Saccharomyces cerevisiae S288C: one gene and its partners. The protein of the gene in region 1 interacts with the protein of each later gene in a biochemical or structural test. Each region holds a gene or a part of one and is shown in the gene's direction. Other genes may lie near its edges.

Region 1 (5,734 bases):
CATTGTTCGTTCCCAATTTGATTGCCATCTGTTCTCAGCTTCCTGCGTTACATTTTTCTTCAATTTTTGGTATAAATCAGCATCTTTCATAGCAAAAATCAGAGATTCATGAAGCTCCCTTCTATCAACAAATTTTAACCCATTTACATTGTGTTGTACTAATTCGTCAAGCACTGGATAGTTCATTGCAATAACAGGAAGACCTGAGCCAAACATATCTAAAATTTTCATTGGCAGGTCCAACCCTGAACTTGAAGTATGCAGGGAAACTCCGTAATCGCATAATTGTAATAACTTTGGGTAATCCTCTGCTGACAACCACACAAATTCGATTTGACAGCGCTTCCAGTCATATTCTTCTACTTGCTTCATATATTTCTCCTTTAGTGGTCCTTTACCCGTTATAAAACACAAGATCTTAGGCAAACTTGAATCAAATTTGACATAAGAGTTTTCGTAAATCTTTAGGGCACCTAATAAAATACCAATATCTTCATCAGGGGTGAATGATGTTGAAGTCACAATAATTTTATCGCCTTTTTCTGTATCAAAATCATCGCGAATATAATTCTTTATAAAGGCTTTGGTAGTTAGGGCTTTTTGACGAGAAATGTCACCTGCCAAAGGTTGAAATTGGGAAGCCGGGCGGTCGTAGAGAACAGCACATCTCTTTGGATTCAAGTGAAAGCTTTGAATTAAATATTTCCTCATTGCTTCAGTAACAGTCAAGTTATAATCAGCAAATTTGCTGAATATCATCTCTACCATGTAAGATATCAACACTAAAGGATGGTAAAAGTTTCCTTTAAATTTTAGTTGCAATATCGAATATGCTAGATTGTGCCAATCAATAATTAGTTTACAACCGGTCAACTTGTATAGCACAGCAATCGGAAGAATGGGTATGCTCGGTGGATTTTGAACTAGTATGTAATCGCTTCCTCTCAATTCCCAAAGTAATTTGAAAATACTTAAAACTTGAAAAAGCACCTTCTTTACCATAAATATAACTGATGTTCCGCCTCCCTTTCTTTTCAAGTTTGACATATGATGGACGGTGATATTTGGATCACTGGAAATAATTTTGGGTAGAGTGTCCTCCACATAACCGCATAGCTCGACTTGCCAACCTAACTTACTGAAACTTATAGCGTGATAGCATATCCTTGGAGAGTGTCCTACATCACCCAGCACAAATATGATGATCCTTTTTTTGGTCGACTTGTTGCCATAAAACAAGTAGGGTATAACATAATAAACCACTAACGGTATGGAAAGGTATAATATTATTAAGGCAAGTAACCACCGAGGAATTTCCAAAAACATTTTCACCAATTGACTATAGCCCCTAAAATGCCGTTACAATTACCCTCTAATGGCTTTGCTAATTGCTGATTGAAAGATATATGACCAATTAACTTGATGATTGCTATATGCGCGTTCTATTGAAGCAACGTGCAAGATGATCACTGCTTGGATTGACCTTGTTTTAGCAACAAGCCATACAAAGATATCAGACAGGAAAGTCACAGTCAAAGCATGCAAAAATCGACAAAGCAAACATAAGTAGAACCTGAGAACATCAACCATATGTCCTAATGAATTCAAGCACCCTCTTTTCCACCCAATTTGAGACATTTTCAAGATGTATTTATATTTTCGTGTACTGTGATATGACTTTATTCTTAGAATTTTTTATTGCCCGCGTAAGAAGGTGTTTAACAAGAGATCTTGTTAACTCACAAGGGTACTCTGACTGGATAGAAATCTTATTCTTGACCGGAAACTATCGAACTACAAAGAAAGAGCTTAGTTAATACAAATAAAAAAGTACAATGTCCTCCAATCTTACCGAAGAACAAATTGCTGAATTCAAAGAAGCCTTTGCCCTCTTTGATAAAGATAACAATGGCTCTATCTCATCAAGTGAATTGGCCACTGTGATGAGGTCATTGGGTCTTTCGCCCAGTGAAGCAGAAGTAAATGATTTGATGAACGAAATAGATGTTGATGGTAACCATCAAATCGAATTTAGTGAATTTTTGGCTCTGATGTCTCGTCAACTCAAATCAAATGACTCTGAACAAGAACTACTAGAAGCTTTTAAAGTATTCGATAAGAACGGTGATGGTTTAATCTCCGCCGCTGAGTTGAAACACGTGCTAACATCCATTGGTGAAAAATTGACTGATGCCGAAGTAGATGATATGCTAAGAGAGGTTAGTGATGGATCAGGCGAGATCAACATTCAACAATTCGCTGCTTTGTTATCTAAATAGGTGCATCCTTGTGATTTTTTGCTCCCGCTATCTTACCCTTACCATTCTGGTTTTATAGTATTCGTTGAGTATCGTTTCATCTAAAGTTTGACAACCACACGCAAATATATACTGTACGTAGACAGGGTTAATGTTATTTATGTAGATAAGTAATGTTCCTGAGAAGACAGTTTAAATAAAGGATACGGATTGTTTACCAAGGCGGATAACTAAATTTAGCCAGTATTAAGTTCAATGTTGCGTAGCTATTTCATTATTTTAATTTATGCAGTCTGTCATCTTCTTGAGGAACAACATTTCGTTTGTATCTTTCAAAAGGATTTAAGTTATCGTCAGCAGCAGAAATATCTCCCGAATAGGCCCTCTCCATTTCAATAGGTCTTGGTTCGAGCGATTTTAGTAATGGCTTTTTCTTTGGGACCACTGGTGGCTTTTTCTTCAGGTTATCATTCTTTTTTGGGACAACAGGCGGCACTTTCTTTGGACTAGACCTAGAAGGTGGAGGCCTTGGTGGAGTAATAGACCCCGATGCAGACACATATTTTTCATCTAGATCTGAGGGAACAGGGCTAGAGTCCTTCACTTTTTTCGAACCGCCTAACTTTTCCAAATTAACGTTTGTTTTTCTTAATTTGATATGCGACAACTCATTGGTAATGGAGTTTAAAACTTCATCTTGTCCAGTTGCTTCCCTAGTAAGTTCCTTGGGATATTCATTGGCCTTTAAAGAAAAATTTCTAGGTTTTGGCTTTACAACAGGAGGAGGCGCCTTCTTCGTAGACTGTTGCGCTTGAATAGACGAAGTTACAGGAGGTATTGACTTTTCATATTTATTAGCATCTTTTGAACTATCAACTTCGGATGTTATAGTACCCTCATGTAACTTCTCAGATCTGGATGGGGCCGGAGGGGTTGGCGCTCTTTTTCTAATAAAGCTGTTGGGGGCATCACCCAAACGACCGTTTTCTGTAGAATTCTCACTCTTGGGGTTGTATTCATCACCATCATGGTGCTTAGCTATACGCCCACGCCCACGCCCATGATTTGCCTCAGGTCCGTCGATAGTATAAGAACTATCACTAGAATTGGACGATTGTGAACGCCTAAATGGTTTTGGTGGTGGCTGGAAGTTTTGAATAGGCTGTGTCTCCATATGAGCTCTTCTGAATTGAGATTGCGATTGCGGTTTCGATTGAGGTACCAACGATGGTTCAACGTTTCTATCTTCCTCAGAGGGGTGCCCTGGCAAAACTTCACCCTTCATTTCTACAGGTGATGCTTTACTATTCTGATTTTGTTTAGTTTCAGTATGTCTAAATGGCTTCGGTGGAGGTAAAAAATTAGAAATGGGATCCTCCTGTACATTAGCGGCATTCGTTGACAGCACCGACTCTGTCCTCTCAAAATTGCCTCGTGATGGGGGAGGAGGAGGCTCAACATTGTTCCGAGGAGGTAGAATTGGCACTGCCCGTTCTGGTGCGTTCTTCGTGGTGTGCTCAGAAGGTACAGAATCAAGTCCATGTCTGAAAGGTTTTGGAGGTGGCATGATGTTGACATCTACATCATAATGTCCTAAAATGGACGACTTGGAGGTACTTTCATCGTTTTCTTTGTTTCCAGAGTTCCTTTCATTGTCTGCAGTAGTAGTTCTTGAATGCTTTGCTGGCAATGAAGCCGCCGAAGAGGTTGTGTTAGGCTGTATTTTCCCACTTGGCGCAGGTTCCTGGTGTACAACTGCTCCTCTATCCCTATGAGTGGGAGGTGGTGGAAGGCTACTAACGTCTACAGTGGGAATATCGATTTTGGGCTTCGGAGCAGGTGCGTCTGGGTCAAATGGAGTAACTTCAAAATGTGGGGTTGAGCCAGTAGAATCAAGAGAAGGCTCAATCGGATAGATGTTTCCCTGTTGCATTGGTTGCGGTGGCTGTGGCTGCATTCTTACAGGCACAGGCGGTTGTCCACCGACTGGAGGCTGACCTTGCATGGGTGAAGCTCCATAGCTGGGGTTCGAATCTTGCATGTTTGTAGTACTTGACATGGCTTGGCCATAGACAGGCTGAACCGCAGCCATCCCAGAAACTCCTTCCACGTTCATTTGTGGCAACAAAGCGTTGTTTTGGTTCAGAGGCTGCTGTTGCTGTTGCTGTTGCTGTTGCTGTTGCCCAAAGCCATTTGACAGAGGCTCTCCGGGCGCTGGCAAGATCACTTGACCGCGCGGGGGCGGTAATGGTTGCCCTTGTTGTTGCTGTTGTGGTTGTGCAGGTGATGGTAAAACTTGCTGGCCAAACTGTGTCGTGGGCTGCTGCTGTTGGCCCGATGGAAATTGGGATTGTCCGAGATTGGTTGAGCCATGTGATACGTATTGCGGCTGCTGATGACACTGAAGACCGTTCTGGAAAGACGGTGATGGTGCCGGATTACTTGATTGGGTACCATATTGCAGATTTTGCGAGACAAACCCTGTGCTTTGCTGAGAAGCAGAGTTCAGAGATACCTGACTTGGAATTGCATTTTGGGGTTGATTTTGTTGCGGCAGCGACTGGTAGCTGGTTGCATTAGAATTTGACCCATACGGTGGTACTTGCTCTCCATATATAGGCGGCTGCTGTGGCACTACACCTTGTTGCAGCTGCTGTTGCTGTGGCATTACACCTTGTTGCAGCTGCTGTTGTGGATACTGATTATACTGTGGTTGTGCGTATTGTGACTGTTCCGTCGATCCTGCGCCAGGTTGGCCTTGGTATGCACCCTGAAAAGCATAACTGGCCTGACCATTTGGCATTTGCTGTTGCTGTTGTCCTGTATAAGTTTTTTGTCCAGGTTTCAAAGGTGGGGGAGGAAAGGACTTTGGGTCTTTTAAACTTCTTATATCGGTCGGCTTTCTTTCGTACTCCATCTCATCTTCGCTATCATACTCCTCATCACTTGAATTTTTCTTACCACTCTTCCTTTCCCTACGCGCTTTGCTGTTGTTATAGTGCTTCTTACTTGCCTTATACCCTGTCTTGGCAACGTACTTTGTTCCTTGGTAACCATATTTACCGGCGCTCTTCAGCCCTGAAGTGATGGAATCTTTGTTGTTCTCCCAAAATCCCATGCTGGTTGATAACTTGATTTTTTTATGAAAGACCTCTCTCGAACATACGATTATGTAAACTCAAAATGACTTTATCCATATATGTATACACTTAATTTAGATGATGAAATATAAAAAAATAGGGTGGTCCCTGGTTTTCCTGAAGCGCGATTTAGGCAGATCCAGTGGTACTACGGGAAAAAAAAATGCCGACACCGATATGAAATAGACAACAACCATAGTGGGATGATCTGGTCGACTGCATGGTTGATTTGATTGTCTATAGGTATCAACGTACTTCCTTTGGATGGAATGCCTTATACTTGGAAGTTTTTAGGAATCAGCAAGCAACTTTCACTGGAAAATGGTATAGCAAAGT
Region 2 (6,358 bases), on another chromosome or scaffold:
TATTGTTAACTCCGCTAAAATTCATTGGAAAAAGGAATTTGCCATATTAACATCATTGGGGCTTTTGATCTGCGATAAAATGGACTGGATAAATCCACAGATGATGAAGGACCCAAAATCAGGAACTACAAACTATATAATTGATTTTAAATCAGGATTTTCTTTTGTTCCGGGAAGTACGATTGACGTGTATAACGGTTTATTTGCTGATAGGGAGCGAGATTCACTTGGGAAATCTCATTTCGCAAGTTTGGTACTTGCGTATACAGAGCATCATTCTACTGGGAGTCATACAAGCAACACAACTGCAGCAAGTAGCTCCGCCAAACACAATGAAGGAGTCTTCGAGCCATCTTCAGATGAAGAGGATAGCATAACGAATTCTACTGATGGTACGAGCAGTGTGAGTAACGGCGAGAGTGACAACGATAGTGTTTCTAGTTCAGATAATCAACTCAGTTCAAATGACAGTAATGAAGATTATCATTCCATTAAGGACGAGTATCCGATTTTCGAAGACGAAAATGCCGATTGTCTATTATACTTACATACATGTCATCGAAATTTTATCTGGAAATGTGCTAATAAGTATGAAAGGGACAACTGGATCGATTCTATCAATCTATTTTCAGCATATGACGGATGCTATGTGGAAATTGGTAGTATAGCAAACACTATTTGTAATAAGAGAAAGCTTACCATTTTGCAGAGGATGGAAAGACTTAGGTCTATAAAATCAGCCAAATGGGAGAAATTGAAAAAATTTGAAAGCACTCTGATGCTTATGGGAAAATGTGTTCCTATTAGCACAAAGACTAAGACAGATATGATAAACCGCATAAGACAGCTGGCTGTCAGAATGGACTGGTTAATCTACGAAATTAAGAGAAGCGAGCTGTTTGTAAGTATCATAAAAGAAGTGACTCGCAAGCAGGCTGAAAAGAATATCTTAGAGCATGGTAAAGGAGAAGAGGAGGGGCAAGGCAATAACGACGATAGTGATGGTATAGATGATATAGAGGAAAGCTTCTTATTCAACGAGAACAGTTTGCAAGTGTGCGTGAGCGACAGTAGTTACGACGAATATAGTAACGAATAAGGGGAAGAAAATAGTACCATGGGTTATAAATGCATGTTATTTATTTATATATTTTTACATATTCTATATGTATGTGTTATACCTTTTTCTTTTTCTCGAAATGTCTATCCAGTCTATTGCTGCCAAGGTTTAAGATCCTAGGACAGCCATCTTTATCTTTACCTAAGCGGCAGCACTCCCAACAATAGAATGCGTCATTGACTCCAACATTTAGATTACAAATTATACAATTTTTAGCTTGTTTACCAAACGAACAGTTTTCACATACTCTAACTTTCCTTTTGGGCCTTACATAAGAGTCGCAGATAGGACATTTGCCATCACATTTTTCACAAAGAAGACCTGTCTGTACACCAGGCTGCTTTAGGCACATTATTAGATCAAACTGATGGCGGGACATGTTTTTTTTGTTGGAGGCTTGTATGTGTGTGGATCTTTTTTGTATCCATCTTCATTTTCTATGTTGAATGCCTTAGTAAGTGAGAAATATGGCAAGTAATGCATATATGGAAGAACAGAAAGTGAGAAAAAAAAATAGAAAAAAAGATGCAAGGAGTTGAGCCAAGGGAGAGACCATACCCTCAGCCAAATATCCAAATATCATATAAAAAGATGGAAGAGTGTCCTATTTGTTTGGCAGATGACCAAGAGGGTGAACAATTTGGATGTTTGAACGTTTGCGGGCATAAATTCCACTTAAACTGTATAAGAGAGTGGCACAAGTATAGTATCAACTTGAAGTGCCCCATCTGCAGGGTTGAATCCACCCATTTAGAAGTTGGCGAAGGGCAACATGCACTTTCTATAAATTTGAAGATGGGGTTTATGATTAAGAATGCTATCGATTATGTGGGGGCCGAAACAACTAACGAAAGAAATGAGGACGATACAGGGGAGCAAGACCAAGAAATAGAATTTCTCAGCGAAAGGCTTAGAGGTACGCTGGTGATGGATACCATTAAGATAATTCAGTGCAGCATATGCGGAGACACAGATGTTTCTCGATTAAGCCTGTATTGCCAAGACTGCGAAGCAATATATCACGAAACATGTCTACGCGGGCTAGCTTGTGAGGTGGGCGATCGCAATACGTGGCAGGAGTGCACAGATTGTAGATCAAATGCATTGCTCGAGCTGCGCATGGGTGCTATCAGTAGCCAACTTGCTAGCTACGATTCCAGGAATTCCATGATTTTTGCTGGTGAGTTACGGGACAAGCACAGCGTCAAGACACAGCAGATGTATGAACAGATACGGAATGCCAAGCACAAAATCCAGATGCACGTGCGACGAGCACTGGACCGGTACCCACTGCCTCTGCTGCGCTTCAAGGATGCCTACAAGCACGTCAACAAGCAAGTATCCCGCAAGTTGTACCGTCTCTCTGACAACAAGTACCTGCCTGACCAGTACGATTACGACTCTTTAGCCCGAACTGGAGTGCACACAGAACTCCTAATTTACTGTCATGATGAGTAGTAATGCAATATAACATTAAAACAAGATATAAACAGTATAATACTCTAGTATGAGCCCTAAAAAAAACCCTCAGAAGCGGGTGACCCATCTCTCGTACGACGTATAAAAGCACAAGTTTGACCCATAGAATTTTTTTTTCACATCTTCCTTTGTTTGCTTCTTCGTCTTCAATAGAAAACAGTTGAACAAACTCAAATATAGCACCATTGTGAGTGCTACTGCACTACAAAGAGGCAGATTAAGCGACCAGTAGGTCCCTTGGAAGAGATAATATATGAGTTCCTTTTTTCTTTTTCCATTTTCTTTCTGTGTGACTCCCCTATGATTAAAAATTATTAATCATATACCAATTGTTCCGACTGAATAGTGGTTTAACTACATGTCGACAACCCTTTTTCGTTAAGTTTCAGCCTTGTATGAGGGGTGCCACGGAAGGGAAGAAAAGAAAGCATTTATCTTTCATTATTATCTTTTTCATGCCTGCAATGGAATTTTTAATTTTCCTTTTGATATGATGATTTGTTGTCGACCGGGCGGACATATTAGTATCTGTTAAAGGGTCGCCGTCTACTCTCATCGTTCTTTTGTGTACAAATTTTTTAAAGGAGCGATGTTGATGGCATTATGGTTCTTTAGTGGAGAATTGATGATTGGTCACAAGACATCTGATTTTTTCGGAAATTTGTTTCTTATTTCAATTTATTCCTTATCAGTTGATTTGGATGATAAAAGAGACTGTTGCGGACTAGTTTATTATGATGATTTTTTTATATTCACACTGTACTAGATTGGTCTCTTTAACGAAGGGGCTAATTGATGACTACAAAATAAAAAATAACTGATTTAATGACTCTGAAAAACTAGTTCTACAACCTAACTAATCTTGCACCCTATGTAGCCCTTTAAATAACTCTTGGTTCTCTTCCCTTTAGATCTTTCATTTTTGCACCTAATTGGTATGGCACATTTTTCAGTTTTCTCCCACTTAAGTTTTCTCCGTAAATCCCTCTTGTATAATAACCAGGAGAAAGGGTTTTGAACACATCGAAGAGCAGAACAGCAAGAGAAAAGTAGCATTAAAAGACCATAATGGCTAGCTTGAAGGTATTTCTCGCAGTTTACTTGCTTGGCGGTATCACATTTTTGCCTTTGGTCCTTTTCACCCTCTATAAAATCCATTTATTGTACAGTAACCTTAAATCGGCATCGAAGAAGGAGCTAGATCATGATACAGCAGACGAAATTGATGAGAAAACCAGACTTCTGGCTCGCGATATAGACCCAGAGTTTAAAGCACGCAAGCTAGAAGAGCAATTAGGTGTCAAAGTTTTTAACAAGGGTTGGATCACCGTCACTAAGCAATATTATTATCATTCTTCAGAAGTGGCTGTAATTTTGAAGAATTCTAATAATAATAAAGATTCAGACACTGCACTTCAAGAGCAAATCTTGCAAAGAACAGACTTGAAGAAAAAACAAAGGTTTTTTGCAGTATTAAGACATGGAAATTTGTTTTTGTATAAAGACGATTCTCAAAATGCAAATTTGGTCCATGCTATATCTTTACAAAACAGATTTATCACCATTTGGCCCCGTTTCGATGAACTGGGTAAGGAAGAATTGCCAGATGCCTCGCTTTTCACTAAGAGAACTTGTATTGCTATTTTCAAGAATGACCTCGTTTCTATAGACTCTAAAAACCATAATGTTATCCTGCCACACTTCGACCCACTTACCAGTGCTGAATCGAATAACGGTGACATCTCTACCAATGACACTACACATGAATATCAATCACAATTCCATAGCTCAAATCAGTTCTTCTTGTATTTCGATAATAACATGGACAAAGAAGATTGGTATTATCAGTTGATCAATGCCTCTAAAAACAGTAATTCCCTCTCAACTGGTTTATTGGATCCTAATGTTTCAGCTAACGCAGCTCATTTGAAGACTAAGGATATGTTACAATTGATTCAGGATATCAACTCTACTGAAAATCAGTTAACTACTAAGTGGCTGAATGCTCTTCTTGGGAGATTATTTCTTTCTCTGCAACAAACTGATACGTTGAATAAGTTTATTCATGAGAAAATCTGCAAGAAATTGAATAAAATAAAAACCCCAGGGTTCTTGGATGATTTGGTTGTTGAAAAGGTCGACGTGGGTGATAGTGCTCCATTATTCACCTCTCCTGAGTTATTAGAATTGTCTCCTGAGGGTTCGACTAAGATTGCTATCGACGTTCAATACAGGGGAAACTTGACAATTATTATTGCGACAAAGGCGAGTATTAACTTGGGATCACGTTTCAAACAAAGGGAGGTTTCTTTGCAGTTGTCCATAAAAATTAAAGAATTTTCCGGTCCACTTTTATTTTTAATCAAACCACCTCCATCTAACAGAATTTGGTATGCTTTTCGCACCGAACCTATAATGGATTTTGAAATTGAGCCCATTGTCAGTTCAAGTAAATTATCATACAACGTCGTTACTAACGCTATAAAGAGTAAGTTTGCCGAAGCCGTGAAGGAGTCCCTAGTTGTACCGTTTATGGATGATATTGTTTTTTATCCAACACCTAATGAAGTATACAGAGGTGGTATTTGGGAGGAGCAGGATCCTGAGGCAGCGGCGAGGGCTCGCACTGCTGCGGCAGCCTCAGATATGAATAATACTAGTGCTAAGGAACACTTAGAAGCACTTCAAGAGGGCGGAATGAAAACCCAGAGTCGAATCAAAAAAGCCTTAAGGCCAGAGAGAAAGAAAGAAAACCTAAAAGATCTTGTTGACGCATCTGGAGTGGCAACGAAAACTACAACCCAGACAACAGTCACAACCGCGACTAATGATGATGTTTCCAGTTCTGAAAATTCTACCAAGTCAAGGAAATACTTCAAGAATTCAATCAAGAAAATCGGTAGATGGTATAAGGATAATGTTGGTAATTCGAGTGACACCGAAGATATGGATGAAATAGATGTTCAAGATAAGAAAAATGACGATTCAGCAGATGAGAGAGAATCAGATAATCCTATCCTTACATCCAATCCAAAAATGATTTCTAATAGGAGACCAGTACCAAGAAGGCCTTCACAACCGTTAAATACACTATCTCCAAAACTAGAAGGCAGGAAGGAAAAAGACACTGAGAATTTTCCAGTTCCACCGTCGGCTTCAAATATGAATGCTTCAAAGATGTTTGCGAACAAAGAAAATAGAAAGTTTTCTGTATCCTCAAATGATTCTCAGAATTCGCTCAAAAATGGTGATCCCCATGTGAAAGCTTCAAAACTTGAAAGCTCTCAAGCTTTTGTTAAGAAGACCTCTCAGAATCGTTTTAATGACGGCTTTTTCAAGCAAGATTTAGAATTTGAAGAACAGCGAGAGCCCAAACTGTGAGTCCACGGTACTATATTAAAAATAAATAAATATCACTTGAAGCTATATGCAAAATGTTGTAACTAAATTCGTGTCAAAATATCAAGCAACTGCCCCTTTTAACTCATTATTTACATTTCTATTCTTCCATTCTTTTGAAAAGAAATAAGATGGATACATCCGTAGAATTATTATATAAAGTTCGATACAAAAGTTCACTGTTCTAACGCACAAATTACCACGGATTTTGTTCCATATCATCATTATTCGACCAAGCAGGACGTTGAGCAGTTGAAGACGGAATATTTAATTCTTTAAAATAATCATCATTACCTACATTGAACGCGTTGCTCTCGGGTTCGACTGTTTCGTTAATATCTATACTTTCCCCTACCCCTT
Region 3 (8,764 bases), on another chromosome or scaffold:
ACGTTATCCAGCATGTTCACGAAGTGAGTAATAAAAAATTATTCGCCGAAGTAACATGTACACGTCTATGTTTGTGGACAAGTTACGCTATTTGCATTTAGAGATTTCTTCTCCAATGTAAATTATTTTTTCTTCGGGGGGTATACATTATTTATTTAAGTAGACATTATATTTCTTCATAAGGGTAGGAGAGAGCGAATACAAATGCCCAGTAAATTCCCCATAAGTAGTTCTTAAAATATAATACCATAAAAGTGGCCATAAATAGGAAGGGCCATGGATTATTGGGTAGAATTTTTATAAATGCCATATGCAAAATAAAATTAGAGAATGAAATACCGAATATTTCCCAAGGATAATACTTTTTTTCTTTCCATATGACTTTCTCGACGTTTTCTTCAAATGACTGAGTCATTGCTTCCCTAGAAAAGTATTTCTTGACTCTTAGCGGGCCATTCCTCTCAAAGTTCACAGAACCGTTCTGCAAGATCTTTCTGCTTTCATCAATTGCAGTAGCCCATTGAATAGGGACGGCAGGTTTTAGCCACCCAGTGGCAGAACTTTCATTTTCACCAGCAACGTAAGATTTGATAGTCTCCAAAGGACCTCCATTGTTTACTGCTAGTACAGGCTTACCTAATTTCATGGCTTCTAAAGGAACAATACCAAAGTGCTCATATGCTGGTGTATACAATAACATTTCGGTTCTTTCGAGCAGTAATTCTTTCAGAGATGATGAAATGGAAGTTAAAAATATAATTTTACTATTATTGGTTTTGAATGACTCTAAATCGGAGACGCGCTTTATTTCTTGGTAGTATATGGTTGTATGGGATAATTCGTATTCATCGGCCAGAGACTGTAGTTCCTTCAAGTACTCCACATTTTCTGCAACCCTCTCGTCATAACCACCGCAAATAACTAACTTAACGTTGTCATTGATTTGATCTTCAGATAACGCAAAAGCCTTTATAGCCAGCGCAACATCCTTTTTTTTCTCAAAACGATTTATACTTAGGTAAAATCTATCGCCTTCGTTAAACACTGTTTTGAAAAATTTCTTGTCAATATCTTCAATTTCGATTGTTGATAAATCCACGCATGGATAAATGACGTCTGGATCATTGGATAAATACTTGAACGTTTGGTGGAACGTATTCTTAGTGAAATTTGAATTTACCACAACAGTATCGGCAGCACTCACGGAAAACTGTTCTATTAAGTCAAATGGTAGTCTGTATATTTTCTTCAATAGCCCAGCTCTTTGAGCCAATAATTGGTCGGGGAAATGACAATAAAACATCAAAGTGGCAGAACTAAAGATATGCAGAAGCGGAATACATGTAGACAGTTGATCAATGATAATTAATTGGTACGCATTCACTTTTTTCTGTAGGATCAATTGAATAACTAAATAAAGCTGTCTAATTGTTGCGAAAACAATAAAAAAACGACCCAAAAAGTTTGTCGGTAAAAAATCACCATAAACTTCGACTTTTAATTGGCCGTTTTTAACTTCTTCGAAACAATGTGATTTATCACAGTGACTAGTATAGATGATTACACTATGTCCTTGTTGCTGTAGACCTAATGCTGCATCGACGACTAACCTTTCAGCGCCCCCAATACCTAGGTCTGGATGAATAAAAGCAATCGTTCTTTTATCCTTTTCAATCATTTTTGCTTGTCTAATCGACTCTTTTTTATCTGTCTTTACTACTGTATCTATTTCGTGACTTCTTAAATGGCGAACGTAATCTTTTGATGTTAAAATGAATACATCATTTATTTTGTTGTTCGCGCGTTCATCTAGCCAGGCACTTGTTTATAAAAAAAGAAGCTATACGCAAGGCTCTCGATCTATAAATTGTATCTGTGATTGTGACCCTTTCGTATATATGTTATAATATTTACAAGAATATACATTTATCATGATAATCTCTGGTGCTTTTTGATGATCTTTGGAAGAGCTTTAGCCCAAGATTTTGTTTTACTGTCAGTTAGCATAAATACGCGGCCGCCCTGTTTCATTCTAGCAGTTCTGCCCACTCGGTGTATCAGGTCTATTGACGTTTTGGGTACATCGTAGAGAACAACATTCCGTACACCTTTGAAATTGAGCCCTCTTGCCATGAGGTCGGTGGTTACGAGTACATGCAAAGACTTGTTACTGGGTGCGGTACCATTAGAATTTGTGTTTTTCAATTTGCCGATGACGATGTTGGAATCAGGAATTTCAAATTTCTTCAAGGAAGTGGGAGGTGAAGTACTCTGAGCAACCACCTCCGAAAGTGGTCGCGGTGGTGATAAAAAGGGCATAATTTTCTCGGATCTTTCTTCAAATGTATCTTCACCAGTTAAACCGATGGCATTATGACCGAATTTCTTATTCAATAGGTTAACAATTTCAGGAACATTCTTTTTTTCGTTAACAAAGATAATGCATCTTTTCTCGAACCCTGGTTCCGTGTCATCATTTGAAATAGCATATAAAGTTTGTGCCAATGCTTTGATCTTGGATCCCTTGAAAGGACTTAAGGCAGAATTTATAACTTTAAAGTCCAAAGCGAATGGTAACTTATGCAGTCTGGGTGTCATTATAGGAACCACTGTAGGAAATAGTCTTTGCATTGTTTTATTAAACTCTTGAGGAATAGTAGCGGAACAGAAAATAAGGTGATTAATGTTAGGAATTCTCTTTATTGCGGAGTGCGTTTCTTCAAGCCATGACCTATCTAGAAGTGTGTCAGCTTCATCTAGTACTACGAAACCCACTTTGGACAAGACTTTATCAGGTCTAGTTATCATTCTTATGGAGAACAGGTTCAGTAGTTTTCCCGGAGTAGTGACTAAAATATCTATTCTATTTTTAATGTTCTCTAATAAATCACGATATGATGTGGCCTTGTCCCACTTGAAAGAGTTTAAGCCTAACAAGGTTTTCGTCTTGGAAACAGTTTCGTATACTTGGTCAACCAATTCATGCGTAGGCACCAGTATGATGGACCGAATCAGAACGTTTTTTCTTAATGTTTCCCATAATTCGGGAGTTTCCAACTCCTGTCTTTTCAAATAGTCTATTAAAGGTATCAAGTAGGCCATGGTCTTACCTGAACCTGTCTCAGCGGCAATCGCATGTATTTGTAACTTTGGATCCATTAAATTTTTGGATATTCTCTTAATGGCCACTGTTTGAATGGGACTCGGTATTATATTTTCACTGGTTTTTTTCCTACTATCTTGTAGCTTCAGGGACTCTTTGGAAATGATTTCTTTCACAGCGTCTCTGACAGGTGGAAGTATAAGCAATTGGTCGAAATTCGATATTTTTTGAATGAGTTTATTCGTACTGTCCATATTCATCTCGACGTCTTTTTTCAATCCACCATACTCTCCAAAGTTGAATGCTTGGTCAGGGTCATTCTTTTTGTTACCTTTTTTGCCTTTGGCCTTCTGTTTTCGGTTTTTATTACTACTGCCTGTAGGCACTGAAGCTAATGGAGAGTTTCCTTTATGCTTTGTTCTTGGGCCTCCCGCATAAGAACGCACTCCTATCTTGAGAAGCACGGGGAAAGACCACTGTGGTGAAATTACTGGCTTGAAAAAAAGCGACATTTGTCTTATTATACTTTAATCTGATCTGAAGAAGTATTTCTACTCATCACTAATATCTATTCCGCTATTATTATAGTTGTAATTTATGATTCCGTGGTAAGTGATTTGAACTTTTGCTTCCTTTCGAAAATTTCAAGAATATGGTTTGGTTGTGCTGTGCAAGAGCGGTTGTATTGCGAAATAGAACCCATCGAGAAAAGAAAATGAAAAAGACGGCATTAAAGACTAGCTCTGTTTTAAGACAAATATTTACAGGCCAGAGAATAAAGAGATACTCGTATGTATGAATTGTAGCCCCTTACACACATATGTATATATATCGATGTGAACATAGCATTTATTAACAGTTCTGCTCAGTACAAATGGTAGTAGTACTAGTGATGAGGTTACTCCGACACCGTTAACAGCGGTAGTAAAGAGAAGGCCGAGTAAACATAAGGTCGTTATGCTCTTAGGTTACTGTGGCAGCGGATACTATGGAATGCAATACAACCCACCACACAAGACGATTGAAGGTGAGATTCTCACCAAGCTCTTCGACGTAGGAGCCATTTCCGAAGAAAATTCATTGGCACCGAAGAAAAATTCCTTTATGGCAGCGGCAAGAACAGACAAGGGTGTACACGCTATGTTGAATCTACTGTCGCTAAAGATCACATTGCGAGAGGACACAGTAGCGAAGTTAAACGCCGCACTACCGCCCGAAATACGCGTGTGGGGTATCCAGCCTGTCAATAAAAAGTTTAATGCTAGATCCGCGTGCGATTCTCGATGGTACCAATACCTTATCCCAGAATTTATACTCATTGGTCCACCCCGGAGTTCTCTTTTGCATCGAAACGTGGGGGGATGCTACCGCGAAGACGGCTCGCAAGAGGTGTGGGATACGTTCCTGGAACAGACGCGTGGGAGATTTAGCGGGGATGAGCTGTGCCGTTTGCAGGACACTGCACAGAAACTAAGCGAGAGCGATCCTTTGGTACAAGACTACGTGGGGCTATTGAGCGGTACCCTTAGCGGCTACTGCTTGTCGCCCTCGAAGCTGGACGCGTTTGAGGCAGCCATGCAGGAGTACGTGGGAACGCATAATTTTCACAACTTTACCACAGGAAAGCTTTGGGGGGATCCTAGTGCTCAGCGCCATATCAAAAAGGTTGTAGTGTCGCAGGCCTCACCGGGATGGATATGTGTGCGGATCCACGGGCAGTCGTTTATGTTGCATCAGATTCGACGAATGGTAGCGCTTGCCGTACTTGCAGCCCGTTGCCAATTGCCGCCTAATATTGTACGTAACTATTTTAACGCCGGGCCTAGGAAATACATTCCGAGGGCGCCCGCACAAGGCCTATTATTAGAGGGACCTGTGTTTGACGGGTATAACACTAAGTTGCGCAATTTGCTGTATTGCGAAATCCGCCCGGACGATATCACTCTTGAGCGCATGTGCCGTTTCCGAGAACGCCAGATCTGTACTGCGATCGCACACGAGGAGACACAGCGTCACGTGTTTTGCCATTTTGTACGACAAATGAACCGCCTGGCCACGCCTCTAATCTAGCCGCCCAATGTCGCGGGTTGACCCGCGACATTGGGCGGGCAATACTCTCATCTTATTGGCTATTCAACTTAGACAAGCGCCAGTTGCGCGCACAAATTTGGTCATGACCGCTCCACCGGCATGCGTGTCGTCATCCCGCATCATTCGGGACATTTTGGCCTTTTCCGCAGTGCGTAGTTGACGTGGGGAGAAAGCTAGTGGGCTGTCGCATATGGTTGGTTTTAGGTGGCGAAAGTTTCGCCGCGATAGCAATCATGTCCTCGACCTTAATCTCAATGGAATGGGTCATGCTCGGTAAGTGAGTCTCGCTGTATATAAGTATATATGTAATCGCCTAGTTCGATAGATACAAGGAGGTCTTGAGTATGTAGATAAACGAAAAGAAGATAACAAAAGGAAAATCTCAGCCTCTCCCCTTCCTCTTAGACAATGTCGCAAAGAAAATTCGCCGGCTTGAGAGATAACTTCAATCTCTTGGGTGAAAAGAACAAAATATTGGTGGCTAATAGAGGAGAAATTCCAATCAGAATTTTTCGTACCGCTCATGAACTGTCTATGCAGACGGTAGCTATATATTCTCATGAAGATCGTCTTTCAACGCACAAACAAAAGGCTGACGAAGCATACGTCATAGGTGAAGTAGGCCAATATACCCCCGTCGGCGCTTATTTGGCCATTGACGAAATCATTTCCATTGCCCAAAAACACCAGGTAGATTTCATCCATCCAGGTTATGGGTTCTTGTCTGAAAATTCGGAATTTGCCGACAAAGTAGTGAAGGCCGGTATCACTTGGATTGGCCCTCCAGCTGAAGTTATTGACTCCGTGGGTGATAAGGTCTCAGCTAGAAACCTGGCAGCAAAAGCTAATGTGCCCACCGTTCCTGGTACACCAGGTCCTATAGAAACTGTAGAGGAAGCACTTGACTTCGTCAATGAATACGGCTACCCGGTGATCATTAAGGCCGCCTTTGGTGGTGGTGGTAGAGGTATGAGAGTCGTTAGAGAAGGTGACGACGTGGCAGATGCCTTTCAACGTGCTACCTCCGAAGCCCGTACTGCCTTCGGTAATGGTACCTGCTTTGTGGAAAGATTCTTGGACAAGCCAAAGCATATTGAAGTTCAATTGTTGGCCGATAACCACGGAAACGTGGTTCATCTTTTCGAAAGAGACTGTTCCGTGCAGAGAAGACACCAAAAGGTTGTCGAAGTGGCCCCAGCAAAGACTTTACCCCGTGAAGTCCGTGACGCCATTTTGACAGATGCAGTTAAATTGGCCAAAGAGTGTGGCTACAGAAATGCGGGTACTGCTGAATTCTTGGTTGATAACCAAAATAGACACTATTTCATTGAAATTAATCCAAGAATCCAAGTGGAACATACCATCACAGAAGAAATTACCGGTATAGATATTGTGGCGGCTCAGATCCAAATTGCGGCAGGTGCCTCTCTACCCCAGCTGGGCCTATTCCAGGACAAAATTACGACTCGTGGCTTTGCCATTCAGTGCCGTATTACCACGGAAGACCCTGCTAAGAACTTCCAACCAGATACCGGTAGAATAGAAGTGTACCGTTCTGCAGGTGGTAATGGTGTTAGACTGGATGGTGGTAACGCCTATGCAGGAACAATAATCTCACCTCATTACGACTCAATGCTGGTCAAATGCTCATGCTCCGGTTCCACCTACGAAATCGTTCGTAGAAAAATGATTCGTGCATTAATCGAGTTCAGAATTAGAGGTGTCAAGACCAACATTCCCTTCCTATTGACTCTTTTGACCAATCCAGTATTTATTGAGGGTACATACTGGACGACTTTTATTGACGACACCCCACAACTGTTCCAAATGGTTTCATCACAAAACAGAGCCCAAAAACTTTTACATTACCTCGCCGACGTGGCAGTCAATGGTTCATCTATCAAGGGTCAAATTGGCTTGCCAAAATTAAAATCAAATCCAAGTGTCCCCCATTTGCACGATGCTCAGGGCAATGTCATCAACGTTACAAAGTCTGCACCACCATCCGGATGGAGGCAAGTGCTACTAGAAAAGGGGCCAGCTGAATTTGCCAGACAAGTTAGACAGTTCAATGGTACTTTATTGATGGACACCACCTGGAGAGACGCTCATCAATCTCTACTTGCAACAAGAGTCAGAACCCACGATTTGGCTACAATCGCTCCAACAACCGCACATGCCCTTGCAGGTCGTTTCGCCTTAGAATGTTGGGGTGGTGCCACATTCGATGTTGCAATGAGATTTTTGCATGAGGATCCATGGGAACGTTTGAGAAAATTAAGATCTCTGGTGCCTAATATTCCATTCCAAATGTTATTGCGTGGTGCCAATGGTGTGGCTTATTCTTCATTGCCTGACAATGCTATTGACCATTTCGTCAAGCAAGCCAAGGATAATGGTGTTGATATATTTAGAGTCTTTGATGCCTTAAATGACTTGGAACAATTGAAGGTCGGTGTAGATGCTGTGAAGAAGGCAGGTGGTGTTGTAGAAGCCACTGTTTGTTTCTCTGGGGATATGCTTCAGCCAGGCAAGAAATACAATTTGGATTACTACTTGGAAATTGCTGAAAAAATTGTCCAAATGGGCACTCATATCCTGGGTATCAAAGATATGGCAGGTACCATGAAGCCAGCAGCTGCCAAACTACTGATTGGATCTTTGAGGGCTAAGTACCCTGATCTCCCAATACATGTTCACACTCACGATTCTGCAGGTACTGCTGTTGCATCAATGACTGCGTGTGCTCTGGCGGGCGCCGATGTCGTTGATGTTGCCATCAACTCAATGTCTGGTTTAACTTCACAACCATCAATCAATGCTCTGTTGGCTTCATTAGAAGGTAATATTGACACTGGTATTAACGTTGAGCATGTCCGTGAACTAGATGCATATTGGGCAGAGATGAGATTGTTATACTCTTGTTTCGAGGCTGACTTGAAGGGCCCAGATCCAGAAGTTTATCAACATGAAATCCCAGGTGGTCAATTGACAAACTTGTTGTTTCAAGCCCAACAATTGGGTCTTGGAGAACAATGGGCCGAAACAAAAAGAGCTTACAGAGAAGCCAATTATTTATTGGGTGATATTGTCAAAGTTACCCCAACTTCGAAGGTCGTTGGTGATCTGGCACAATTTATGGTCTCCAATAAATTAACTTCCGATGATGTGAGACGCCTGGCTAATTCTTTGGATTTCCCTGACTCTGTTATGGATTTCTTCGAAGGCTTAATCGGCCAACCATATGGTGGGTTCCCAGAACCATTTAGATCAGACGTTTTAAGGAACAAGAGAAGAAAGTTGACTTGTCGTCCAGGCCTGGAACTAGAGCCATTTGATCTCGAAAAAATTAGAGAAGACTTGCAGAATAGATTTGGTGATGTTGATGAGTGCGACGTTGCTTCTTATAACATGTACCCAAGAGTTTATGAAGACTTCCAAAAGATGAGAGAAACGTATGGTGATTTATCTGTATTGCCAACAAGAAGCTTTTTGTCTCCACTAGAGACTGACGAAGAAATTGAAGTTGTAATCGAACAAGGTAAAACGCTAATTATCAAGCTACAGGCT
Region 4 (9,191 bases), on another chromosome or scaffold:
ACATGGTATACAAAACAGTGGTAATCCATGTCGGAGACAATAAGTTTTGGCAACCGTTGTAACGAGCGATACCATATCTAAATACTTGTAACAGATATGAAAATCCCATGACCATGACAGGTGTGAACAAGCTAATCACAAGGTCCTTGACGATTTTCGTCCATGATGAAAGATCCGGTAAAACACTATCTGCCTTCAAAATTGTATGCAAGTTGTAAATGATGTTGGTAACGGCACATGATATGCCAATATTCGCACCAACCTGCAACTTGATGACAATATCACACCAACCTTTACCATCCCATCTCGTGAGGAAATCGTCGTCACTCCATATTGCCGCATCTACAATACACGTTAAATTCATTGTAAGAAGCCATGTTATCAAAATGATTGCTGGAATATTCTTGGTATGTGAATGCCATGCTAAAGGGGGAGCTAATAGTATCACAGCTAGCAAACAAAGCCCTATTATTGCTGACTTGTATGACATGAAAATTTTGATAGTATTTTGCCTTTCCTACACAAATTTAATTGCCTCTAAAGTTAAAAAGCAATAAAATAGAATATGTGAATACTGCACAAAATGAATACTTGGGAATTCAGAAATTATTCTTACCTTAAGCATCCACTCATATACATATATATATATATATATGTCTTTTCAAAAGACTTCTGCCCAAATTGTGGAGAGAACTCTGCCTCTCCGTGATAACGGCCAAATGAAACGCATCCAATGATGCAATTATTGACAAAGTTTCAAAGTTTCCGCCATTATTCCTTCATTTACACATTGATAGTCGAGAAGTTTCCTAATTAGTGTCACAATGACAGAGAAAATTGTACCAGCGCTTCTAACGAAAATTAGCACCCATACCCAGAGTTCATAAATCTGGCAATGTGGTACAATAATATAGGATTGGTAACATTTCAATTGTAAAATGTTTAACGTTTAGAGAAAAGGGGAGCCAGAACGCTTCTGGTGGTGTAAATACGGAGAAGTCACCTTAAATAGTTTTGTTCTGATAATTGCATTTTTTTGGAAAGATTTGGCTGCTTAAAAGATTCAAGCAATCAAGAGAAACATTACAAGGCCTGCTTGGCCGGTCTACTAGGCTGAAATAATAAGTTTCTGATTATGGTTATCACGGTAAATGATTACGAAAGGGTAAAGCAACGAATGGTTGTTTTATGGTAAGAATACTTTGGCGAATCAACAAATTGAAGTTGCGCAATGTGCGATTCGCTTATGTATCAAAAAAAACTAAAAAATGAATAGAGAAAATCATATATATAAAAGAAAAAAATATCGTACACCTCTTAGGTAACTTGGAATATATTAAACATGTAAAGAAGGAGAAAACATTAACCTGCATTACAATAATGAACAAGAGATGAAAAAATCCGTAAAGCTTCTGAATCGCGAAGCTCACTATCTATTCCATTATCATCATATAACATCATTGCACTCTTTATACTATTTTCAACAAAATTAACGCAGTTTTCCAAACTAGTACTTAGCTTGCCAATCTTGCCACAGGAAAAGATTTTTCTGGTCTTCTGTTTCAACACGTACTTCCTTTTTCCGACAAAATTCTCATCATAGATATTCTGGTTGCTGTTATTGTTGTTATTGCCAGTAAACTCTCTTTTCAATGCGACATCCCTAATGTCCCTTGAACGTAACGATACTAATAGACTTCTTGTGTAATCCGCCTTTAACAGGTCAATCTTCATAGAATTTGTTATTCTGCTCTCTGATTCTTGACCAGCAGGACATGCTTGCAACTGGAAAAAATTGTTAAAATGGGTTAAATACATTGTATATTTCGGCAATAGTTCCAGAGGTTTATTCATCAAGCCATCATCAATATCAGAATCAGTAGTCAAAATATCCGCATAAGAAGAGTTACCTGGAAAAATTTCGTAAGTGGAATTAAGGTCAGCCAAAGAGGGCTGACATATTCTTTCAAAAGCCTCATCCAAAAGATCATCCTGAGAGATCCTTTGGCAATCTCTTTTCAACTCAACGTTCTTTAGTGGAAATTTATATGATATATTCTTAACCAATGGGGGTGCGTGAGACACATCTCCAACATTAGGAGAGCCAGGTGTGCCCATCCAAGGATACTCATCATATTCGCTGATAGACGGTGATTGTTGCGGAGTGGTTAGTGATAACCTGGAGGTTGCTTGCTGCAAAGAAGACGAACTTGAAGTCCTTTGCATATTTCCAGCAGTTGTTTGCAGCCTCTCCCACGACTCGTTGTGTTTTAAAGAAGGGCTTGGTTGAAAGAACTGAGAAATTGTTGGCCTTTTGTTGAACCAAGAACCGTACGAACCAGGTTGGCTTGAGATAGAAGACGATAGATAATGCAATGAACTACTCCCACTTTTGAAGGAAGATGGCTGAATAACTTCCGCTAAAGACTCACTAGAAGACACAGATACTGAAGTGTTCGAGTTCCTCCGATTGGGTATTTGCCATCCTTTCCTCAAAGAATGGAAATTGGGTGATCCAATGCTGTTAGAGCTCACATTACTGTTGTTGTAATTATGATTGCTATTATTTTCTGTGCGACTCAAAAGGTTGTCTGTTGAAGTCAGTGTGCTCAATTCCGTCTCAGGCTTATCGACAAAATTATTGTTAGACTTATTTCTTGATACAGCGGACGAATCCGATCTTATGTTTTCCCGCCGTATCGTTATTTGTCCCTTGTACTTTGGCTCCAATAAAGCCGATAAGATGAACAGTAACTTGTTAGCAACCACCATGTTTCCTGACAGGATTACGATCTTGGATGTCTTTAGTTCTCTTATAGTGTGCCTGTAATCAGATATAATCATTGCCATTAGGAGAGGAAGGAAGCCTAGTTTCGGTCCATCTTTGATTTCAATCCAATTAAATATACTTTTGAACCAAACGTGAACGAATTCTTTAAATGTCTCAGGGTAAAGGAAAAGCCTAGGAATCTCAGACATAGAACGTAAACCTGGTATGACTCTTTTTTGTAAAGTTTGCACCATTATTTCAATTTCCTTGGGATAATGCGTCCTGATGTCAATATTTGACAATTTTATGACTGAATTATTGCTGTAATTGCCAGTATTTTCTTGCATAATACGGTTTTTAGTCAAGAAACCAATGAGCATTTTTTGAGTCTGGGTCAACCATGATGAAATGGAAGACCACGACTCTGCAACTACGGGCAACAATATCCTCGGTATGCATAAGCTAATTGCGATGCGGTTGTATTGGTGTGTGTAATAGAAAATTCTAGTTATGAGTACCAAATCCGAGTTAGGAATCGTCCTTATCTTGTCGCACTGCGTCAAATCGGAAGATCTTACGGGAGAACCAAATATATATTCCTTCAATTCACTCGGCCGTATCTGCTCCATCGAATTTGAAATCTTTGACGTAGTGTAATCGAAGATATCACGGTAGTTGTTCCTACACGCCATTTGACCCGCTTCCTCAATGATCAAAATCCTGAATGCATACGTTTTTTCGTTAATAGACGTGATTTTATCAGTACCAAGACCTCCGTTGTTTTGTAACGTATCGATAGGACGACTATAAGGAATATCCCTCGAGCCGAAAAGCTTCAGTTTTAAGTCATCCGATATATGATCTAAAATGGGCGGAGAAGTCGTTGATAGCATTTCCGAAGGCTTTTCCACATTGACTGCAGTATCTAAAAGAGCTCCAGCAGCGGTCTTAGTAGTTCCTGTGCTTGCCGCTTTGCAGTATACAGGGACATTGGGAACTACGGAGGAAAAATCGGAATGCTCTGAGCTCTTCTCAAAACCAGACGAACTCGTCTTATTTCTCAGTAAATTACCCAACATATAAACTCTCCCTCTTCACCTTCTCTACAAGGCCACACACAAGACAGTTTTAACAGGCAAATGGTACTGGAGGCTCTCACCAATGGGGTTTAAGACGCTCCAAACACACGCTCTCCTTTTTTTCTTTATATATCGGTAGCAACGAAAGCTAGTCGCAGAACGTTACACACTAAAGCAGATCAATCAATCAATCCTGAGAACCTGCTTCGTTCAAACCATCCACTAGAAGAAACACGCACGTGTACCCAAAAATAGAGACAAACAAACAGACAAAAATAACAATGATTCCTACCGACTAAAGTAAAACAACACTCACGTAATAAAAAATCCTAGATACAACTCACTTGTATTCCTCTCTTCTTTGACCATCACTAAAGCTTCTCTCTTACTATATTCCTCAAATAAAAAAAAGTTGCAATGATTACTTACCAATGTGCCATAAACTCCGTGCACCACACTAGCCTTCGATTTGACACATCTCTAAGCTGAAACTGAGAATACTGTTGTAAAACAGGTATTGGCTGCTTCATAGTACACCCAATTGCCCACAACCCAAGTTAATCATAAGCTCTTGTTGTCGATGAATTGCTCAAAATGTGGCCATTCTTTCAATTTTGCACCTCTAAAACTGCTCCGTGGGTTGTGACAACAACCTTAAGGGTAATGGACTTTTTTAGAAAGACAAATGAGATGATTTCACCTACTGGTATATCATTTATTTATACACGACCGTTTTGACATTTCAGAGTTGCACGTTGGTATATCCTAATATTCTCACAAGCATCACAGTGAAGAAACGCAAGAAAATGGAAAAAATTCCCAGGTGGTTGTTGTTTTCTCTTATATCGTCGGTGCTGTGCATACTTGGGGCCCTGTGTGTGCCGTTGTTATCGGTTGCCTTCGATAGCAAGCGCAATAGCCAATCTAAGTTGGTCAACTATGGTCTTTCTCTAAGTGCCGGATCTATGATCACTACTTCACTATACATGCTATTGCCTCGGATCGAAAAATCAAACCGGTTCAAGGTTTTTCCTGGATTGCTTTTGGGTATTTGCCTCAGTTTTTTCTTAAACTACCTAGTCCACGCTTTCGCCAGCGAATCGTTGGTACACTGTGCTGATAGCGGTGACCATGCTACAGGTTCACATATACACTCCAAATCACATTCGCATTCGCACTCACACTCACATGCGGATTCGCATTCGAATTTTAGCAACGATCATGATTTAGAAAATGCTCCCTCTGAGCATGGTTATGCAACATCTTCTTCCAGTGTTTCTGAAAATGACCCGTTGATTACAAAGGATAGCGATAGACCCCAAATGAAAAAGAAAATGTCCCTAATTGACTTATTAACCAGAAGGAAATCAGAAGGCGAGTGTTGTGACCTAAACAAGTGCACTCCGCTCTTGCAATCAGAGCAGCCAGAATATATTGCATGTGTCCCACCAGTGATAAAGTCTTCTCAAAGTGAAAGAAACGTGCCACATGGATGCGAGGGATCAGAAGATAATGGACAATCCGATGACAAGGATCATCGTGGCCTTGTATGCGTGGAAAATAATATCGGTTACGATCTTGAAAACCTATCGTTGTACCGTAAGAATTTTCTTTCGAGCCGCCATCATCATTCCTCTGAATCGCCCGAAAATTATGGTTCCAACCAGTTGTCGCACTCTTTTTCGTCACCTTTGGGAAATGATGTAACTGAGAATCCGGCCGCATTGGCAGACACACAATACCATCCCGAAAATGGTTCATTATACCCCCACCATCATCACTTAGAGACCCCTTTTTCCAAATTACTGTCTATTGGTATGCAAACTTGTCTAGTCCTTGCATTACACAAATTTCCCGAAGGGTTTATTATTTTTTACACTAACAGGTCAGATTCGTCAAAGTCCTTGGGATTTTCCATTTTTTTAAGTTTGACGATCCATAATTTTGTCGAAGGATTTGCAATGACGTTACCATTCTACACTGTTTTCGAATCTAAATGGGTTGCCATTTTGATTACTGCCGTTCTCGGTGGTGGATCTCAACCATTAGGTGCATTGATAGGTTATTTCATCTTTAAAGGTAGTACTCCAAGGGATCACGAACCCAACATGGATTTTTTACTGAGCGTTACTGCAGGGTTCCTATTAGTAATTGGTTTACAAATGTTCCAAACTGGTATCGGATTTAGCGATGGACATCATCATCATCAAGGAGAAGGTGATGAAGAAATGAAACAGTCCCATAGCTCAGGCACAACTTGCTTGAAATGGTGCTGCACTGGCGTTTTGCTAATTCTAGCGAGTGCCCTTTTCACTTGATAAATTAAAACTACGTATATTCTTTCTATATAAGTCTTTTCCCATTAAATAACGGTGTATAATCACGATCATATATCATATATCATATCTACGATCATCGGCAAGATCAAATTCTTGTTCTGCTGTATGGTGCTCATCACCATAATCGGTTATCACGTTTTCCTCATTTTCCTCAAAGGGATTTTCTGTACTACTTTTAGGATGCACCTTGATGAAACCTTCTTCAGAATTATTTTCTACAGACTCTTTCACTGTGGTTCCCGAGTTTAGAGTATGTTCAACATTGCTATCCTCTAGTTCAAAAACAGTTTCTTCCGCATCACTGGGAATTGGAGCCTTGATGTCATCTGCCAAGGGTAATCTAAAATTATACTTCCCCCATTTGAAATAAAGACCAGTGATAACTAAAATGCAGAATACGTACACCATTAAAGCATAATTCATTGTTTTGAAAGTTACAGGCACTTGCGTTGGTAGGCAAACAGAAACCATAGATAACAAGAGCCACACAATAGAAACAATGTTGATGAACCAACCAAACTTATACCTGATTTTTACTGGCGCGCTTCGGATAGCTCTTCTTCTCGTAAACAGCACCAAGACTAACGGAATGAAAGTCGCAGAACAAAGACAGAGCACTGCAGCGCCTATAAAAGCATTAAATGCGGCCGTTGAAATCAAAGCTAGCAGACCTAAAAAGTATGATATTATCATACTCAATACAACAGAATTCTTGGGGACTTTTGACTGAGAATCCGGTTCGACGTAGGTCCATTTATCGTAGTATGGTATAGCCTGGTCACGACTAAAACTATATACCGCACGAGAAGATGTAGTAATCGAGCCAATTCCGGAAAACAGTAAGTTTCCTAAAATTAGGAGCACTAAAAAAAAAGACAAGACCACCGAATCAGTCGATTTTGTAAAAATGTTCACTATTGGTAGAACCTTATGATTGGTAAAAAGCAAATCATTATCTGGCAGGATTAACATTATTGGTATAAGAAAAATGACTCCAGAGAACGCGGATAACAATACCGCATTCGACATACCACGTGGAATATCCTTCTCAGGAACTTTGACTTCGTCAGCTAAAGCAGGTAACATACTGAAACCTTGTAACGTGAAATTAGACTGTTGGAATCCAATGATGAAGGAAAGAAATGCGCTTTTATACCCTGATAGATTATTATCAAAGTGAAATAGCGCGTACTTCAAAGATCGAAATTTACCTTTGTGGAATACTAGTAGAAGAATATCAATAAATATAATGGCATATATGATCCAATAAACACAGACTTTGTTTATTGTTTCAATAAATCTTGCAAATTTCAAATTCACGAGGCCTACAACAGTCACAACTAAGTAAAATACAATGACTGTGTAAAAAATCAAGTGTGCCTCGGATATTAGGTTGGAGTTCGTCATCAGAATCAAAGAAATGGTAAGTTGAGCGCCTGCAAAAGTAATACTGGTACTCATAGTCCAATTCCCTATGAGCATTAACCAGCCAGTGTACCACGAACATACTAATTTCAATTTCTCCGGGGCCAACATGGCACTCCCAACATGCAGTTCCATCGGAAATTTTGAAACAATCTCACCAAGAGAAAGCGACGAAAACCATATACACACTCCACTGATTAAAAAACCTAGCATTATAGTTAACGGACCACCATTAATTAGCCCAATGGCCATACTAGTGCACATTCCTAAAACGGGACTCATTAGTCCTAAACCGAGACCGACAATAGAACCTCTTGACAATAACGATTTATCCAACACCTGATCATAATTGAAATGCTCGGCCTCCTCGTTCTCTTGACTGTCATCTTCATGAACAATGGTGTGCAAGTTATCAAACAAACCATTCGGATCGAAATGAACGATATTCTCCCTTATATTATCAGCCAGTAGCGTATACTCTGGCATTTTTCATTTATTTGACTTATTTTTATTTATTTTATTGTACAATGGCAAACAAATACACGGACTGGTATGTTCTTCGTCAAATTGATGATCTGTTCTTTTGGCTTATCCTTATGGGATGATTAATGATTGTTAAAGCCTCATTGCGGAAATTTTAATGCCGGAAAGGCCTGAAAAATTTCAAAGTGGCAGAAAACAAGGCTTTGGGGCATTACTTGCCAACGGCTGACGATTGCTAGCTGCTTTTACAGAAGCGATACACAATAGCTCCTAACATAGCAAAATGGAAGGTGACGATTTATTCGATGAGTTTGGAAATTTGATCGGAGTTGATCCTTTTGACTCGGATGAAGAAGAAAGTGTGCTGGATGAGCAAGAACAATATCAAACCAATACGTTTGAGGGGAGCGGCAACAACAATGAGATTGAGAGCAGACAACTTACCTCGTTAGGAAGTAAAAAGGAACTTGGAATTTCCTTAGAGCACCCTTATGGTAAGGAAGTGGAAGTATTAATGGAAACTAAGAACACACAGTCACCACAGACTCCACTGGTAGAGCCGGTTACAGAACGAACAAAGTTGCAAGAGCATACAATTTTTACACAATTAAAAAAAAACATTCCGAAGACTAGATATAATCGAGACTATATGTTATCAATGGCTAACATTCCGGAGAGGATAATAAATGTTGGTGTCATTGGACCTCTTCACTCAGGTAAGACCTCTTTGATGGATCTCCTAGTAATCGACTCACACAAACGCATACCAGATATGTCTAAGAATGTAGAACTTGGATGGAAACCGCTAAGATACCTGGATAATTTGAAACAAGAGATTGACCGGGGTCTTTCCATTAAACTTAATGGTTCCACTCTACTCTGCACCGATTTAGAATCCAAGTCTAGAATGATAAACTTTTTGGATGCACCAGGGCATGTTAATTTTATGGATGAAACGGCAGTCGCACTTGCAGCAAGTGATTTGGTTTTAATCGTGATAGATGTTGTAGAAGGTGTTACATTTGTGGTAGAGCAATTGATAAAACAAAGTATTAAAAATAATGTAGCAATGTGTTTTGTTATAAATAAACTCGA

Evidence for each region.
Region 2: the proteins of CMD1 (region 1) and ASR1 form a complex in vitro, tested with the Saccharomyces cerevisiae proteins (one study listed by BioGRID).
Region 3: the proteins of CMD1 (region 1) and PUS2 form a complex in vitro, tested with the Saccharomyces cerevisiae proteins (one study listed by BioGRID).
Region 4: the proteins of CMD1 (region 1) and ZRT3 form a complex in vitro, tested with the Saccharomyces cerevisiae proteins (one study listed by BioGRID).

Annotation. Positions count from the first base shown.
Region 1 is NC_001134.8:454,464-460,197, reverse strand, and holds CMD1 (calmodulin), read left to right. Parts: upstream 1-1,835; coding exon 1,836-2,279; downstream 2,280-5,734. Other genes in the region: ALG1 (chitobiosyldiphosphodolichol beta-1,4 mannosyltransferase), read right to left, coding at 1-1,326; AIM3 (Aim3p), read right to left, coding at 2,533-5,376; IML3 (Iml3p), read left to right, coding at 5,668-5,734.
Region 2 is NC_001148.4:715,778-722,135, reverse strand, and holds ASR1 (ubiquitin-protein ligase ASR1), read left to right. Parts: upstream 1-1,711; coding exon 1,712-2,578; downstream 2,579-6,358. Other genes in the region: Arf family guanine nucleotide exchange factor SYT1, read left to right, coding at 1-1,099; U2 snRNP complex subunit RDS3, read right to left, coding at 1,176-1,499; NVJ2 (Nvj2p), read left to right, coding at 3,668-5,980; YPR089W (uncharacterized protein), read right to left, coding at 6,195-6,358.
Region 3 is NC_001139.9:379,594-388,357, forward strand, and holds PUS2 (pseudouridine synthase PUS2), read left to right. Parts: upstream 1-4,060; coding exon 4,061-5,173; downstream 5,174-8,764. Other genes in the region: ALG2 (GDP-Man:Man(1)GlcNAc(2)-PP-dolichol alpha-1,3-mannosyltransferase), read right to left, coding at 167-1,678; MRH4 (ATP-dependent RNA helicase), read right to left, coding at 1,930-3,615; PYC1 (pyruvate carboxylase 1), read left to right, coding at 5,603-8,764. UniProt on the Saccharomyces cerevisiae protein: Mitochondrial-specific pseudouridine synthase catalyzing the formation of pseudouridine at positions 27 and 28 in the anticodon stem and loop of mitochondrial transfer RNAs.
Region 4 is NC_001143.9:114,138-123,328, forward strand, and holds ZRT3 (Zn(2+) transporter ZRT3), read left to right. Parts: upstream 1-4,655; coding exon 4,656-6,167; downstream 6,168-9,191. Other genes in the region: STE3 (Ste3p), read right to left, coding at 1-490; LST4 (Lst4p), read right to left, coding at 1,363-3,849; TPO5 (Tpo5p), read right to left, coding at 6,243-8,099; U5 snRNP GTPase SNU114, read left to right, coding at 8,380-9,191. UniProt on the Saccharomyces cerevisiae protein: Transports zinc from storage in the vacuole to the cytoplasm.